Linked DNA regions of Astyanax mexicanus. The protein of the gene in region 2 interacts with the protein of the main gene of each other region in a pairwise test. Links are inferred from orthologs where the notes say so. Each region holds a gene or a part of one and is shown on either strand. Other genes may lie near its edges. The genes, in order: pfdn1 and immt.

What was found.
Region 1: the proteins of immt (region 2) and pfdn1 interact in a two-hybrid assay, tested with the Homo sapiens proteins (2 studies listed by BioGRID and IntAct). The link is inferred for Astyanax mexicanus from reciprocal best matches to the Homo sapiens genes IMMT and PFDN1.

Annotation. Positions count from the first base shown.
Region 1 is NC_064424.1:11,021,467-11,029,848, forward strand, and holds the start of pfdn1 (prefoldin subunit 1), read right to left. Parts: upstream 3,499-8,382; 5' UTR 3,425-3,498; coding exon 3,392-3,424; intron 1,367-3,391; coding exon 1,200-1,366; intron 241-1,199; coding exon 156-240; intron 1-155. Other genes in the region: hbegfb (heparin-binding EGF-like growth factor b), read right to left, coding at 7,433-7,505, 7,998-8,153. UniProt on the Homo sapiens protein: Binds specifically to cytosolic chaperonin (c-CPN) and transfers target proteins to it. Binds to nascent polypeptide chain and promotes folding in an environment in which there are many competing pathways for nonnative proteins.
Region 2 is NC_064417.1:17,878,765-17,886,319, reverse strand, and holds the start of immt (MICOS complex subunit MIC60), read right to left. Parts: upstream 3,157-7,555; 5' UTR 3,010-3,156; coding exon 2,968-3,009; intron 1,103-2,967; coding exon 1,029-1,102; intron 853-1,028; coding exon 660-852; intron 520-659; coding exon 354-519; intron 1-353. UniProt on the Homo sapiens protein: Component of the MICOS complex, a large protein complex of the mitochondrial inner membrane that plays crucial roles in the maintenance of crista junctions, inner membrane architecture, and formation of contact sites to the outer membrane.

The DNA.
Region 1 (8,382 bases), on a different chromosome or scaffold from region 2:
ATAATTGTTCAACCAACAACAATTTTTCTGCAGCTTGTGTGTGCTGCATAACAAATCTGTAGACTAGAGTCAACTAGCGTAGACTCAGCCAGACTGAGGTTAAATGTAGTCATGTAGTGATATCTTATTTTAAGAGAGTAAGAGAGAAAAGTCACCTCAAGCTCCTTGATCTTGTCATCTGCCGTCTTCTGCTTTTCCAACAGTTGATTATTAATTTCATCCTTTGACTGCAGAATAAACCTACAATGGTAACAAGACATGATAAAAAAAAAAGCTCAGTCATTCAGTAGCAACAACAGACAAATTATGCAGTATGTCCAAAATCTGTGGACACCTATGGCTACATTCACATTACCAGGCTGAAGTGATTTAATCAGATTTTTTGCTTAATGTGGCTCAGATCTTATTTTTTTCATGGCTGTGTAAACGTCTCAAATCATATTTGAGACACTTTCATATATGGTCCTAAATCAGATACAAATTCGATCCATGGACATGCAAATATCCATGGAATATGTCAAATCAGAATTCATGCGTCTTTTTGCTTTTACACATTAGCATTAGCACTACATGCTTCTCTCTCGTACCCACACTACATCTCTTGGTGCAGCTGTACAGCTATAGCTGCAAAAACAGCAAAAGCAAACCGCCTGGCCTTTTTTCACCTCCTCGACCTGAGCATGAACTTCAGACCAGCTGTTTGCTGTTTCTCCACTCCAGCAAAAGATGCTCCACATATGAGCTGCTAACGCATCCATTTCCCTTTACACATTTACGAGTCATCTCTTAAATATGACATTTTTTGTTGTTGGTGAAGAAGAAGACGTTTATACTCGTATCAATCTGCGCATGTGAGAGGTTTCAGGGACAGATTCGTTCACATTACACACAGATACAGACCACTTACATTTATAAATGTAAACCATCAAGAAAATCTGATTTGAGGAACGTGGCTTGTAAATTAAACGTAGCCAATATGCTCTAGGTTTCTTCAGAAATCAAGATTACTCATAGGGAGCTATAAAATTGCAATAAAAGCTTCTACAAGCTGTGAAGATGATTTAAGCTGTGAGTGCTGTCATTGAATTAACTAATTAAAAGAGATCTAAGGTCTGGACATTTTGGACAGGTAATATAGGATTTAAAACCGAAAATCACCATATATTACCTAATCTAAAGATAATTTCTGAGATACGTACATGCGCCCGACTCCTTCATACATCCGAGTGCTGTCAGGAAGGGAGGTTATCTCCACATGTGTCAGATTGGAGTGCTTCTTCATGCGACTCAACTGCTCGATCTGCAGGTCGGCGATCTTGACTTTTTGCTGCGTATCAATCATTTTAGCTTGCAGTTCAGCAAAGGCCTAGAGCACAACACACAACACAATATCTATTAATGAAGTATCTATAAACATAAATTCAGAACAACAAAACTCTTTAACATGACAAAAACATACACAGTGTAGTTATATACAGTATGCTTTAAAATATAAATATACAGAACTTTTTACAAGCGTTTTAGGTACCTTACCACATCATTTTAAAGCATTTATCTCTGCAATAAGTGTATTTTTGCTTGTAAACACAGTATAAATTTGCTTGCTTTTTATTGTTATTTTTAATACTACTGAATGGCAATTTACATAAAGGCAAAACAAATATTTTAACACTACTGTGATAAACCATGTAATTTTTTTTTTCAAGAGGATATTTTACACATCTTTACAGAACTTTTTCTTTTTTCCATGTGTAACAACTAATCAAAGCAAACAAAAGCATAAAAATTAAATACTAAGTATTTATAAAAATATTTTATTATATGGTCCACACCAGATCCGGGCATTGTGTGCTCCACATGCTACATTCAGCTCTTTAGTTTTTGATAACCACCTCTTTGCATATCCACTTAAGCAATTGAGCAAGACTTTATTAGCCCAAATAGTCTATATTTCTCTTACTAAACCCAGTATTTAGACAACAAACCAAATAGCCACTCAGATAGCAAAAGGATGTTGAACATTAACATTCATTTTTCCATTGCTAATGTACTGAAACAATACTGGTCACCCACGTCAGAAGTGATTTATTTATACACATCAATTTCATGTTGATTCAAAAGTAGGTTTTATGTGTACAGTTTGCATTAAACTTTAATGACATTAAAATAAGTAATCTTGTTTGTAGTGTATTTTATAGCCTGCACTGTATAATAGTAATTTGTATATTAATATTAGGTATTTTTGGGAAGCACCTTTTATCTATAAGCGTTGTTAGTGTAGATTCAGAGCTCCAACTAGGGGTGTGACGTATCATATCGTACGCAATAATATGGCCAACATTTTTTAATATCGTATATTATATCGTATATTATACCCCGAAATATTGTGTCATATCACCCACCCCTAATTATCACATCAGAGTACTATTTTTTTTTTTTGCTGTTGTTAGCTAAAGAAAAATTTACACTGGTCTTATTTCCCATTATATATCTACTAGAGGCAGATTATATCTGTCCAGTAATATTTATTTTACTTCAGTCCTGGATATATGGAGCTATATGGAGTGTATTATTAGTATCATGACATTCTGTATTTTTTACTTTTGTTACAAATCTGATACAATTATTTTATTTTTTAATATATCAGTTAGGGGTGTGCCATATCATATTTTGTTGCAGTAGTCTATTCTTATTTTTTTTTATTCAGTGCCATATCGCCAAGAATATTGTATACTCTGAAATATCATAATATTATTTTTGGGTCATATCACCCACTCCTAGACCAAACTATTCAAAATGAAATGAATGCAACTTTATTGCAAAATATTTTCTCTTTTGGTTCTTACTGTTTATTTCTTTGCTTTTGGTTTTTTTAACTGGCACTATATTCATTGCAAAAAAAGTTTGAGGTGCTACAGCTCAGGGATGTTTTAATGTTTTTTTTTTCTTCATGTAAAGCTTTTTTGAGTTGCCATTGTGTGTGAAATGCGCTGTATAAATAAACCTGCCTTGCCTCAGCATTATTGGAAGGATTTATTTTAGCTACAGTGGCTAGCTAAAACCTAGCCAAGGTCATATCCTACATCCAAATAATCCTAAACTGGAATCTGTGTCTGGATAACAGCCTCTATAAACTGTTAGGTAGTAGTGAGGCTAATACCAATAATACATCGTTAAATAACCAAGTAAATAGCTATAATAAACCCGGAGCTGTGTATTGTGTAGCATTAGCTACTGTTAGCCACTCCGCTTTATTCAGTTTATATCTGTGCTGTTTAATCAGAGACCCTGATCAGAACCCGCTTTAGCTGTTTCACACCCCGATCACACAGAATAATCCCAGCTCAGAAACCCACAGCTACCGTAACAGCGATCATCAGCCACGCTTTACCTTCTTCAGCTCTAGGTCTACGGGGGCTGCCATGTTGCAGAAGGCAGGGCGAGTGTCTGCGCATGCGTACTGAAGACAGTCCACTCCGGGTTGCCAAGGTGAAGCAGAAGGCTGCTTTGGCTTTTTTGTGAGAAGAGTTAAGATATCATTACAATACCATTGAAAAGTTACTTTATTTCAGTAATTCAGTTTAAAATGTGAAACTCATATTTTATATAGATGTATTACACATAGAGTGGTCTATTTTAAGTTTTTATTTATTTTATTGTTGATGATTATGGCTCACAGCCAATAAAAACCCAAAAATCAAAGTCTCAGAAAATTAGAATATTATGTAAGGCCAAGGGCGTAGGAGCGGGCTTGATATTGGGGGGGGGACACATTTGCCAATATGAACCTAAGCCCACTCTATAGTTTCCTAGAACAACATTTGTGGAATTTACTTTTAATTAAAAGTAAATTATTATTATAAGGTGATTTTACAATCTAAACATGTTACTCCATGTTACAGTTACTGTGGTTAGAAAAAAATATGCATGCAATGTCTGAATTATATACATATGACAATAATGATCAGTTATCACCTAATATTTAAAATAATACAGATTTGGTTATTATTATTATTATTATGTATTGGCATGTCAATTCTGTCGTATATTTACATTTTCTCCTGCGCATAACAGAAGTCATGTTACAGCTGTGTTTCTCAACCCTGTTCTTACATATTCTACTGCATATTAACACTGTTCTGTGTTGTGTATTCTGCATATTCTACAGCTTACTCTGCTTTAAAGGCATTTCATAGAGTAAGTGGTGGAATGATGTGTCTAATAAACTGCTGGATATACATGATTAATTTAGGATCCATAGAGGGCTAAAGGGTTTTAACAGGTAAACTCAGTAAATTACTGTTTATTAGCTGATCAGCTGGATCAGGTGGAAAACACTATTTTGGGGGCAGTGACCAGGGTTAAGAAACTGCTTTAAACTACAAACGTAAAGTACTGTACTAAATTCTGGCTATCCACTACATGCAGCTTCTAGATAACTAGTTAGCTAAATTAATTTTCGTTCATTATAGCTCACAGTAAGTCCTGCAATCCTAAATTAATAAACAAAGTTTGAAAATGAAATAGTGAATAGCTGATCAGGTACAGGGCAAGTTGAACATTATATATATAGTTTTTTTTCTTTAACCCTGACTCCCAATCTAGCTCATTCCAAAGTTAAGCTAACTCACTAACACAGCTGCAGTTCATTAATCACAGTGGGTTTAAACTGTGTGCTGATTCAGAGACGTGTATTTTTAACCAGCTATCAGAAACATATCATCACAGTTGAAGTGGTTAGCCTATCGTTACCTTTCTTTTAGTAAAATCTCCGTATATCCATCTCTGTTTTAAAATCAGCTGAAGCTGCTGCGTCCCGATCCCGCTGCTAAATCTCACAGCGAGGGGGCGGGGCTTCCCCAACAGCAAACTGCCTCTCCTCCGCGCGCCGCAAAACCAGCAAGATTGGCTGTTTCTGCCAATCTACTGAGAGGCGGGACTTAATACCTGAACAGGCTCCGTGATTGGTCCGGTCTGTCTCCTCATTAATAGTACAGCTGATCTGAGTGAAACGATATAATTTTTGGGGGGGACAAATCGACCTGTTTCTAATATTGGGTGGGACATGTCCCACCCATCCCCCCCGGTTCCTACGCCAATGTGTAAGGCAAATTGGTACTTTTGGCAGTGTGGGCAGTGTGCCAAGTCCTGCTGAAAAATGAAATCCGCATCTCTATAAAAGTTGTCAGCAGAGGGAAGCATGAAGTGCTGTAAGATTTTCTGGAAAACACTGCACTGACTTTAGACTTGATATAAACACAGTGGATCAACACCAGCAGATGACATGACTCTCCAAACCATCACTGGTCATCAGTAAACTTTACATTTAATTTTTTAATCAAGGGAGCAGAGTCTGAAGGAAGAGTGGAGAGCTTCCACAATCAGAAATGACTGTTTTATTGTGTTTTTTATTTGCCAATTTGAGGGTTTAGGGAGGCACAGCCTTTTGGTGTATCTTAATGAGCGTATCTGGCAACCCGAGTCTTCTTCACTCAACATCACACACGCGGTTGGGAGTCAGACATTGCAGACAGAGACTAATGTTCTTTGATGAAATTGTGTAATAGACGTTGTTGTGGTTGTCTGTATGTGTCGTAATTGTACATATATACTGTACCAGAGGACACACCTTAAATTGAGTTTAAATTGTTCTGAATTGTAGATTAAAGTAATCCAAACTATGATTTGTTTATTAAACAAAACATGTTAAACAAACCAGAATATGTTTTGTATTTTAGTTTCTTTTAGAAGACACCTCTTGTTTAGATGAAAGCTTTGCACATATTGGCTGGATTTCCTCAGTCAGCTTTATAAAGTAGAGTCACCTTGAATGGATTTCAGTTAACAGCTGTGCTGAACTTGTCCAGAGTAAATTAATGTGTTTGAGAGCATCAGTTGTAAAGTTCTGAAATGCTTTACATTTTTAACATGTTTAATTTTACTACATGATTCCTTATGTGTTTCTTCATAATCTGGATTTCTTCAGTATTCATTTACAATAAAGGGAAAATAAATAAAAAACATTGAATGGTAAAGTGTGTCCACACTTCTGACTGGTACTGTGTGTAGTTTTTGCTGTCTGAGCCGCATTTGCCATTACAAGCAACTTAGCATTGTATTGGACAGATGTCCAATGCCAGTATCAGTATTCATGCATCTCTAATCTAGACGAGTTCAGGTCCTGATAACTGCTGTATGAGAACCAGAACCAACACATCTAACCGCTACTGACTAATTAATGCAGCATCTAGTGACAAGCTCTTAGTCAGTGACTGTGTATAAGCTACAAAAATGTTCACACATATTTGTGGTATGTTGTAGTCAGTATAAAACACATTTTCAACTTTAATATCTTTCATTTTACCTGATTTATTTATTTGTTTATTAATAATTTAGGAAACATAAAAAAAAATAATACTGCAGAACAAAACAACTTATGTACAAAGTCTAAAAAGAACACACATTTTATTTTTTCACAGTATTCACAAGATAAATTAGACAAATGTAAAAAAAATTACAAATAAATACAGTAAAACAAATACAGTAGTGTAAGTATTTGGACAGTGAAAGTTCTTTTGTTTACTTCTGTTGTGTGCTGGAATTACAAATACAATAAATATTTCTTAACATTTCAGAATGAGCAGTAGCAGTTATGCTTTGTGACTCTGAAAACTCTTAAATGTTGAATCACAAAGCCAAAAGAACAGAAAAAGAATTAGATCACTGTCCATTTACAAACTACTACATAGACCGGCAGTGCACTTAGTACTTACACACAATGATTATTTAACTAAATAAATAGATAAATAAAAAACGTTTTAAGTTATAAAAATAAATAGAAGGGAAACAATACATACAACACAAACACAAAGCTACATTCATTGACTTTCTTCATTTGTATTACACACAGGTTGATTTATCAGGAGTGAGGCATCTCACCATACCTCTCTGGGGAGGAGTGTGCTCCAAGAATTGAGAATTTGGGAGCAACTAGGGCTGTGACTGTTACCGCATTACGGTCATACTACAGTCATTTGATGATTACTGCTGTATTTAGCGAATTACCATTATCACCGCAGTTATTATTTATTTATAAAATAATTACAGTTCCAGCTTTAATATCTGATGGACTGAGCCACATTAATTAACAGTGGAAGAAACAGAAACAAACCAACTGTTCTCCGCATGTCCAAAAGTGCTCTGTTACCACTGACCAGTTCTCTCCATCTGTCTTGCCATCAGTATGATCACCTGCAGGAAAAAAAACAATTGTAACTGATTGTTAATAATTAATACAGAACATAATAATAATAATAATAATGATACATTTGTAGTGGTTATTTTTTTGGCCTTTATTCAACACAGAATGCACACAAAAAAAGTTATATTTTTCATCATTATATATTACAATGCTCACCCTTCTTCATCAGCACTATTGTACACTCGCTGCCTCAAGTTTGATCTTCTCCTCACTTTCTGTCTCTATTTCACCTTTTTTATGACACCTGCGAAAAATACATGCAGTATTGTTAGTATGTTTTGCAAAACAAAAACAGTGTATGCAAATGCAAATGTGTCCAAGGTAGGGGTGGGCGATATGGCCCTAAAATAATATCACAATATTGCAGGGTATTTATAGTGAGGTATTTTTAAATTAGTTTTAATGAGAATAAATGTAGACGTTTCTTACATTCAGTTGAAAAAAATCTATAAATGTTTGTCCATTTCATAAACCATAACATACAAAAACCCTGAATTTGTATATAATTATAATTGTGTAACAACCAAAACTTAAACTAAAACTCAGCATATTTAGTACACACACACAAAGTGCAACATACACAAAATACAGTAAATACAATAAATAGCAAAACAAATACAAACTATACTGCTCGCAAGAATATCGCAATTATCACAATATTAAGATTTTCTTTATTGTGTCAAAAATGTTCGATATGGCACACCCCTAGCCCAAGGTATGTATAACATCTACTAACCTGAAAGCCAGCAAAATGCCAATGAATGTGAGGCACATCAAAGACAGGACCACTGCTATTGCAGCCAAAGCTGCAGTCTGATTGTAGCCTTTCACTTCTGCACCAACAGGCAGAGTGAATATGTGACACCTCTCGCCCGAGTAGTCTGTCTCACATCTGCAAGAAGAACACATTCAAAGTTTAAATACATACAAGCAAAAAACACAGGGACTAAATGCTCTGTGAGATCTACAGCATGCAAATGGGAATTACTGTGCAGTTACACAGAAAGCCATGCAAATTGCATTACAGTCCAAAGGTAAGACCTTATTGGTTTAACCATTACATGTGCAAGTTTTCTACCAAAGATTATTAAAAGGGCAGACATCAGGTGTATATAACTAGG
Region 2 (7,555 bases):
ATTTGCATTGTAATCTTGCAGTCTTCATAGTATGCATCAAGCGCAGGTAAGGGCAATGCTGGACTGAGGGCCAGACTTAACTCTGTTGAATGTGTTAACTGTAAGGTTTAGTAAGTCTGTTACAACAGAGAAATCAGCACCCTGATCTAATGTAAAAGCCTTCCCAGAAGAGTAAAAGCTGTTAACAAAAACCCTAATAATATGCTTAGTTTTACAAGACATCACAAGGGCCTGCAGGATACACAACCCCCGTAAGACCGATAAAGGTCTATTGGATAAACCCACCTATTCAAGGAAAAAAACATGTTGCATGTTTCTAGTCCATTAGATCATCCAGAATTATGTAAACTCACCCTCAATGGTCTGTGGAGGCAGAGCTGGGGCTTCCTCTACTGCAGGTTTGGGATCCACAGGTGCTGGCTCTGGCTGCTTCTCTTTAGCTTTGCTTTTTGCTTTGGGTTGCTTTGAGTCCTTTGAGGCTTCAGACACTGAAGAGATCTGCAGTGGTTCAGCCTTCACCTAAAATACATAGAGAACGGCATTTAAAAACAATAAACAAAATATACCTAGATAGACTCTATCTAAAGCCTGACAGACAGTCTGTAAACATACAAAGCACAGTGGATGAGACATCTGAATTAAACAGGTTTTCCTCTTACCGGTTTCTTTTGCATTGGGATAAACGGTGGTGGAGGGGGACCAAGCGCCATCTCAAAAAGCTGGTCAGAATATGGAACGCTCTTCTCAACATTTGCTCTGAATTTAGGGTCCCATTTAGCGTACAGGATTGTACCACCTAGACCTCCACCGACTGTTAGGATACTAGCAGCCACAATCTTTCCTGCAGCTGACCTGCCATAGACCGACCCAAGAGAAAATGCATCACATTTAAAATGAAATTATATTTAGAGAGTCATAATATAACAATGGCAGGTTAGTGTGCTAGAGATAATCTGTATGGTAAATCTGTATCCAAACACTTTATTTGTAGCTAAGCATTTTTTTTTATTTAATCAGTCAATTCATACCCTGAGTTTCCAGCTGAGGTGTAGCGGCGGCAGTGCTGCAGAGGGTGGACTGGTACCTTACCACAGAGGCAATTCTGAGAAGACAAAAAAAAAAAAAAAAAACATTATCCACAAATTGACAGCAACTCCAATCAGAGCCCATAAACAAGAACAGATGTGTAATCACCAATGATAATCAACTGGGTGATGGTGGGAGCAACTGATCATGTAAGAATACAATACTAACACCAAACTATCCACATGGGATAACACAGTGACCACTGTGCAACACCCTCACAACCATGTGATACACCATAGCAACTGCCTAGTAACTAAAGAGCAACCACTATGAACACTATATCACTCATTTAGCAACCCATTTCGCAACATTCTAGAAACTACCAGGGATACCACAGCAACCACCTAGCAACACCACAGCAAACATCTAGCAAAAACATCCTCATCACCTAGTGGCCACATGAAAACAACTGCCTGGAAGTGTGCAACCATTCTGTCTGGTGCAGTAACATACAACAGATAAAAACAAATACACTGCTCTCTTCAAATCTCAATCACCACCTCAATAATCATATAAGAAGCTTAAAATCACTACTACCTTACAGAATAAGTAACTTTTTGTGTAGTTAAATAATCCCTAAACAAAATCCATGGAATATAATTCAACAATTTAGATTAATTATTAAAACCATGTACACTATCGCACTATTTATAATTTAAACAGTTAGAGTGTTGTCTGTGTTTCTGTGTCTTTTTCTAGTGATTATGATGAAAGTCTGAATGTGCTGCGTGTTGTAGGTCTAAAGGTGCTAAACAATAGTTTCTGCTTTTACTTTATGCTCTGAAGCTCCAGCTCATCCCAAATCACCATCTTAGATGGGTTTAGGTCAGTATTGCAGAGGACAAACACTGTTTAGTTCACTATGCAATTCCACATGTATTCATTGATTGTTTTCATGTTTTTATTTTGAATCTACAATGTAGAAATTAAATAAAGCAAACAATGAATGAGAATGTATGTCTAAATTTTGACTGGTACTGTATGTCATACAGTAATTTGCTTCTACTGATGAATTTAATCTGGATGCAAACCCTGTAATTTCTATCATGTACTGTGAAAGTGTCTTTAAATACTGTGAGAGAATATTTTTGAGCTCCCTTATCAGCCAGTCTTACTTACACCCTTTGTGTAAATATAACATGCACAAGATAAAACATGTGATTATGTGTAAAAAAAATGTGATGAACATCTGAGAAATCAGCCATATGCCAGGGGTTTCCCTTCAACTCCAATGAACTTGGCAAGGTCACGCCCTCAAATTGGATAAAAACAATTCGCCTCAATGCGAAATAAACTCAGTCGCGGGTTCGCGCGCTCCTTGTGCACTCGATATCACAGGTCTGATATCTGATTAAAGCGAAATAAACTAAATTTCAGCAGCAAACTATAAACTCTGCACCAACGTCTCCTCGGTTCCTAATGCACATGAATGGATGACGGAAAACTTGAATCACACTTGGTACGCCCACATCCACGTCACTGAAGAAGAAACGCGCCCTATTGGTTGAGGCACTCGTTTCTACTGCCGATCTCACATTTCATTTGCTACATCAGCCGTCAATCCAACACGGACGACCGCCCCTCCACGCTTTGACTTACGCCGTTTACGTAGAACTCAAAGTGTCCCAGCTAGCAGCTACACAGTTAGCCACTTCAAATGACACGCAATTTATCACCATAAATCCAGAGTTTTAGCGCTGCTGCACCTTAAATAACACACTACAGGGAGCACCGAGTAACTGTATAAACAGAGGCGTCTGATAACACGTTATTAGAGCCGATAGACCCGGCCGGCCTGCGGTGTGGGTCACTAAATGACCGCTCTGGGGAGTTTAGCTCTCCGGCTAATCATAGACTCGGCGGTCCTTCAGCAAAGCTTACCCGCGCCGCTGCATTTGCACCTTTCCAGCACACGCGCAGCATTGTGGCCTTTCCTCCTTTCGCGTCTCGGTCTAAAGCGACAGTCTTAACAATCAGACGGCTCAGCAAAACATTATAAAAGTGGTGAACCCTCGGTAGCACTGCGCACTCACTCCCAGCGCCGTTCGCCGAGTGACGGAGAGGCCGCGCATGCGCACTTGGCACGACCAGCTGCTGGGGTGGGGTGGGGTGGGGTGGGGTAGTCAAGGGTTCATGTCACTTTAGAGAATTTTTAAAATAATATCCTTCTGTATTATTAAACACATTGAAGAAGAAATCCGGAGTGAAATAGACTTGGGGTGTAGTGAAACATTACGAGAACAAAACTGTTCTCGATTAGCCCACCTCCATTTACCCCCAGCATTCAGAAATACAGATTTAATAGCCCATAGGGGCATAGAGTTCATTAAAAAAGACTGTTCATACACAACAGCAACAGCGGGAATTCAACTCTCAACTCACCCCCAAATTTGACATAGTACAGTAACGGCTCAATCAAATGTAAACATGGGGTGAATATTGGTATTTAAATTGTGTGAAACTGACACAAATCCATAATTCCTGCTATTTACTTACTTTTTTTTCTCAGTAGCATAGTCGCTGTGAATTGGAGAATAGTTTTGCGATATACTGATTATCACTGAATCGCAGTTTTGAGATATAATAATAATAATGATAATACTTTATTTTTATATTGCGCTTTTCTAAAACCCAAAGACGCTTACAATTATTGGTACAAAGATACAGATATACAATACACAGACAATACAGGTACAACATTTACAGTGGAGCTCCAACTCAGCAGTACTATAGTATGTGAGATCAAACATAATGTTAAGCAGAAGAGAGACCATAAGCAAGAGAGAATAGATGAGTTTTAAGATTCGATTTAAATATGGGAAGAGTGGGAGATAGCTTAACTGCAGTTGGAAGAGAATTCCATAGTCGGGGAGACTCCGGTAAAGTTGGTTTCATATTCGCATATTCGGATTTCTTTCTTCAATAGCTTTTGAACTGTGTGTGCAAAATGGTTAATACTTGCTTATTTTATATGCTGACATCCAAAGCAAGCAGCTACAACGTCTTTCCCCTCTCAAACATCTGCCTTTAGAAAACCACAGAACACATTGTCGTCTATGGGCTGCCGCGACCTGCACGAGAGCTAAGGGACCGTCTACAAACTACTCGACACAGCAAAAAGGCGAATGAAGATGGGCGGGGCAAATGCTTTATGCTTCATTATATGAAAGTGTAGTGTACTTTAGTGTTTTTAGCTGGTCACAAATGACAAGACTTCAGGAGTTCCTGACAATATTTTTTTATAATAATTGTTTTGTTAAAAACAATCTAAAAATATAAAGGTTACACTCATTTTTTGTTCAATTTGTAACTGTTTTTAAAAAACCTTTTTAAAAAATATTTCATAAAGTATTTCATTCTGATTTTGTGACAAAGTTTCAACTGAGTATATATTTTATCAAATAATCACTTGTAGCCCATTTTGCAAGTCTTACTGTCATTTGACCTGCAGTTCAACAGAGGGCTTTCAGGGTTTCTTTTTCTGTTTTACTGTTGATAGTAATACTGTCATTGGTGGGTAGTAACCATTGGTTTGTTTAATTTTAGTTGAGTATACAGAACCGTAATTAAACCATGTAAGAATTGTCAAATGATAGTATTAAAAGGTTTACATTCTATTGTGACTACTTCTGAAATAAATATTATGAAATATAACTAATACCTCTTCACTTGCACAATTGTTTCAGCAGGTGGCACCAAAGTTGGACAATTATAAATGTTACTGTCTAAATATTTGAGTTGTATTTTTAACTAATTTTTGTTTAATGTTATTTTTTTTCTTCTAATAATTTTTTTATTTATCTGTTTCTTGCTGAATCTTTGTTGTAACAATATCAATTACTTCCAATACCTTGTTTACTTTGAAAAGCTCTTAGTGTTTTGCAAATGAGCCTTTATGTAAACCAAAGCAAAAATTTCTTGATGAAATCTAACGGTTGCTGAAAATACTGACTAGGTGTGGACTGCACACATCAAGTTATATCAAGTCTAACCAACATGACATACTACAACTATGATATTGGTCAAATTAACCCTTGCTGATTTGTAGCAACAGTTTTTTGTGAATTAATTTCAATAGCTTTTGAACTGTTGAGGGTATCACAACAGAACAAGTTGTATTAGATCAAGTCCCACCCATATGACATACTACAACTCTGATATTGGTCAATTTAACCCTTGCTGATTTGTAGCAACAGTTTTTTGTGAATTAATTTCAATAGCTTTTGAACCGTTGAGGGTATCACAACAGAACAAGTTGTATTAGATCAAGTCCCACCCATATGACATACTACAACTCTGATATTGGTCAATTTAACCCTTGCTGATTTGTAGCAACAGTTTTTTGTGAATTAATTTCAATAGCTTTTGAACCGTTGAGGGTATCACAACAGAACAAGTTGTATTAGATCAAGTCCCACCCACATGACATACTACAACTCTGATATTGGTCAAATTAACCCTTGCTGATTTGTTGCAACAGGTTTTTTGTGAATTAATTTCAATAGCTTTTGAACCGTTGAGGGTATCACAACAGAACAAGTTGTATTAGATCAAGTCCCACCCACATGACATACTACAACTCTGATATTGGTCAAATTAACCCTTGCTGATTTGTAGCAACAGGTTTTTTGTGAATTAATTTCAATAGCTTTTGAACCGTTGAGGGTATCACAACAGAACAAGTTGTATTAGATCAAGTCCCACCCACATGACATACTACAACTCTGATATTGGTCAATTTAACCCTTGCTGATTTGTAGCAACAGGTTTTTTGTGAATTAATTTCAATAGCTTTTGAACCGTTGAGGGTATCACAACAGAACAAGTTGTATTAGATCAAGTCCCACCCACATGACATACTACAACTCTGATATTGGTCAAATTAACCCTTGCTGATTTGTAGCAACAGGTTTTTTGTGAATTAATTTCAATAGCTTTTGAACCGTTGAGGGTATCACAACAGAACAAGTTGTATTAGATCAAGTCCCACCCACATGACATACTACAACTCTGATATTGGTCAAATTAACCCTTGCTGATTTGTAGCAACAGGTTTTTTGTGAATTAATTTCAATAGCTTTTGAACCGTTGAGGGTATCACAACAGAACAAGTTGTATTAGATCAAGTCCCACCCATATGACATACTACAACTCTGATATTGGTCAATTTAACCCTTGCTGATTTGTAGCAACAGTTTTTTGTGAATTAATTTCAATAGCTTTTGAACCGTTGAGGGTATCACAACAGAACAAGGATTAATTTGACCAATATCAGAGTTGTAGTATGTCATGTGGGTGGGACTTGATCTAATACAACTTGTTCTGTATCAATAACCTTAACGGTTCAAAAGCTATTAAAATTAATTAACAAAAAACTGTTGCTACAAATCAGCAAGGGTTAAATTGACCAATATCAGAGTTGTAGTATGTCACGTGGGTGGGACTTGATCTAATACAACTTGTTCTGTTGTGATACCCTCAACGGTTCAAAAGCTATTGAAATTAATTCACAAAAAACTGTTGCTACAAATCAGCAATGGTTAAATTGACCAATATCATAGTTGTAGTATGTCATGTTGGTTAGACTTGATATAACTTGATGTGTGCAGTCCACACCTAGTCAGTATTTTCAGCAACCGTTAGATTTCATCAAGAAATTTTTGCTTTGGTTTACATAAAGGCTCATTTGCAAAACACTAAGAGCTTTTCAAAGTAAACAAGGTATTGGAAGTAATTGATATTGTTACAACAAAGATTCAGCAAGAAACAGATAAATAAAAAAATTATTAGAAGAAAAAAAATAACATTAAACAAAAATTAGTTAAAAATACAACTCAAATATTTAGACAGTAACATTTATAATTGTCCAACTTTGGTGCCACCTGCTGAAACAATTGTGCAAGTGAAGAGGTATTAGTTATATTTCATAATATTTATTTCAGAAGTAGTCACAATAGAATGTAAACCTTTTAATACTATCATTTGACAATTCTTACATGGTTTAATTACGGTTCTGTATACTCAACTAAAATTAAACAAACCAATGGTTACTACCCACCAATGACAGTATTACTATCAACAGTAAAACAGAAAAGAAACCCTGAAAGCCCTCTGTTGAACTGCAGGTCAAATGACAGTAAGACTTGCAAAATGGGCTACAAGTGATTATTTGATAAAATATATACTCAGTTGAAACTTTGTCACAAAATCAGAATGAAATACTTTATGAAATATTTTTTAAAAAGGTTTTTTAAAAACAGTTACAAATTGAACAAAAAATGAGTGTAACCTTTATATTTTTAGATTGTTTTTAACAAAACAATTATTATAAAAAAATATTGTCAGGAACTCCTGAAGTCTTGTCATTTGTGACCAGCTAAAAACACTAAAGTACACTACACTTTCATATAATGAAGCATAAAGCATTTGCCCCGCCCATCTTCATTCGCCTTTTTGCTGTGTCGAGTAG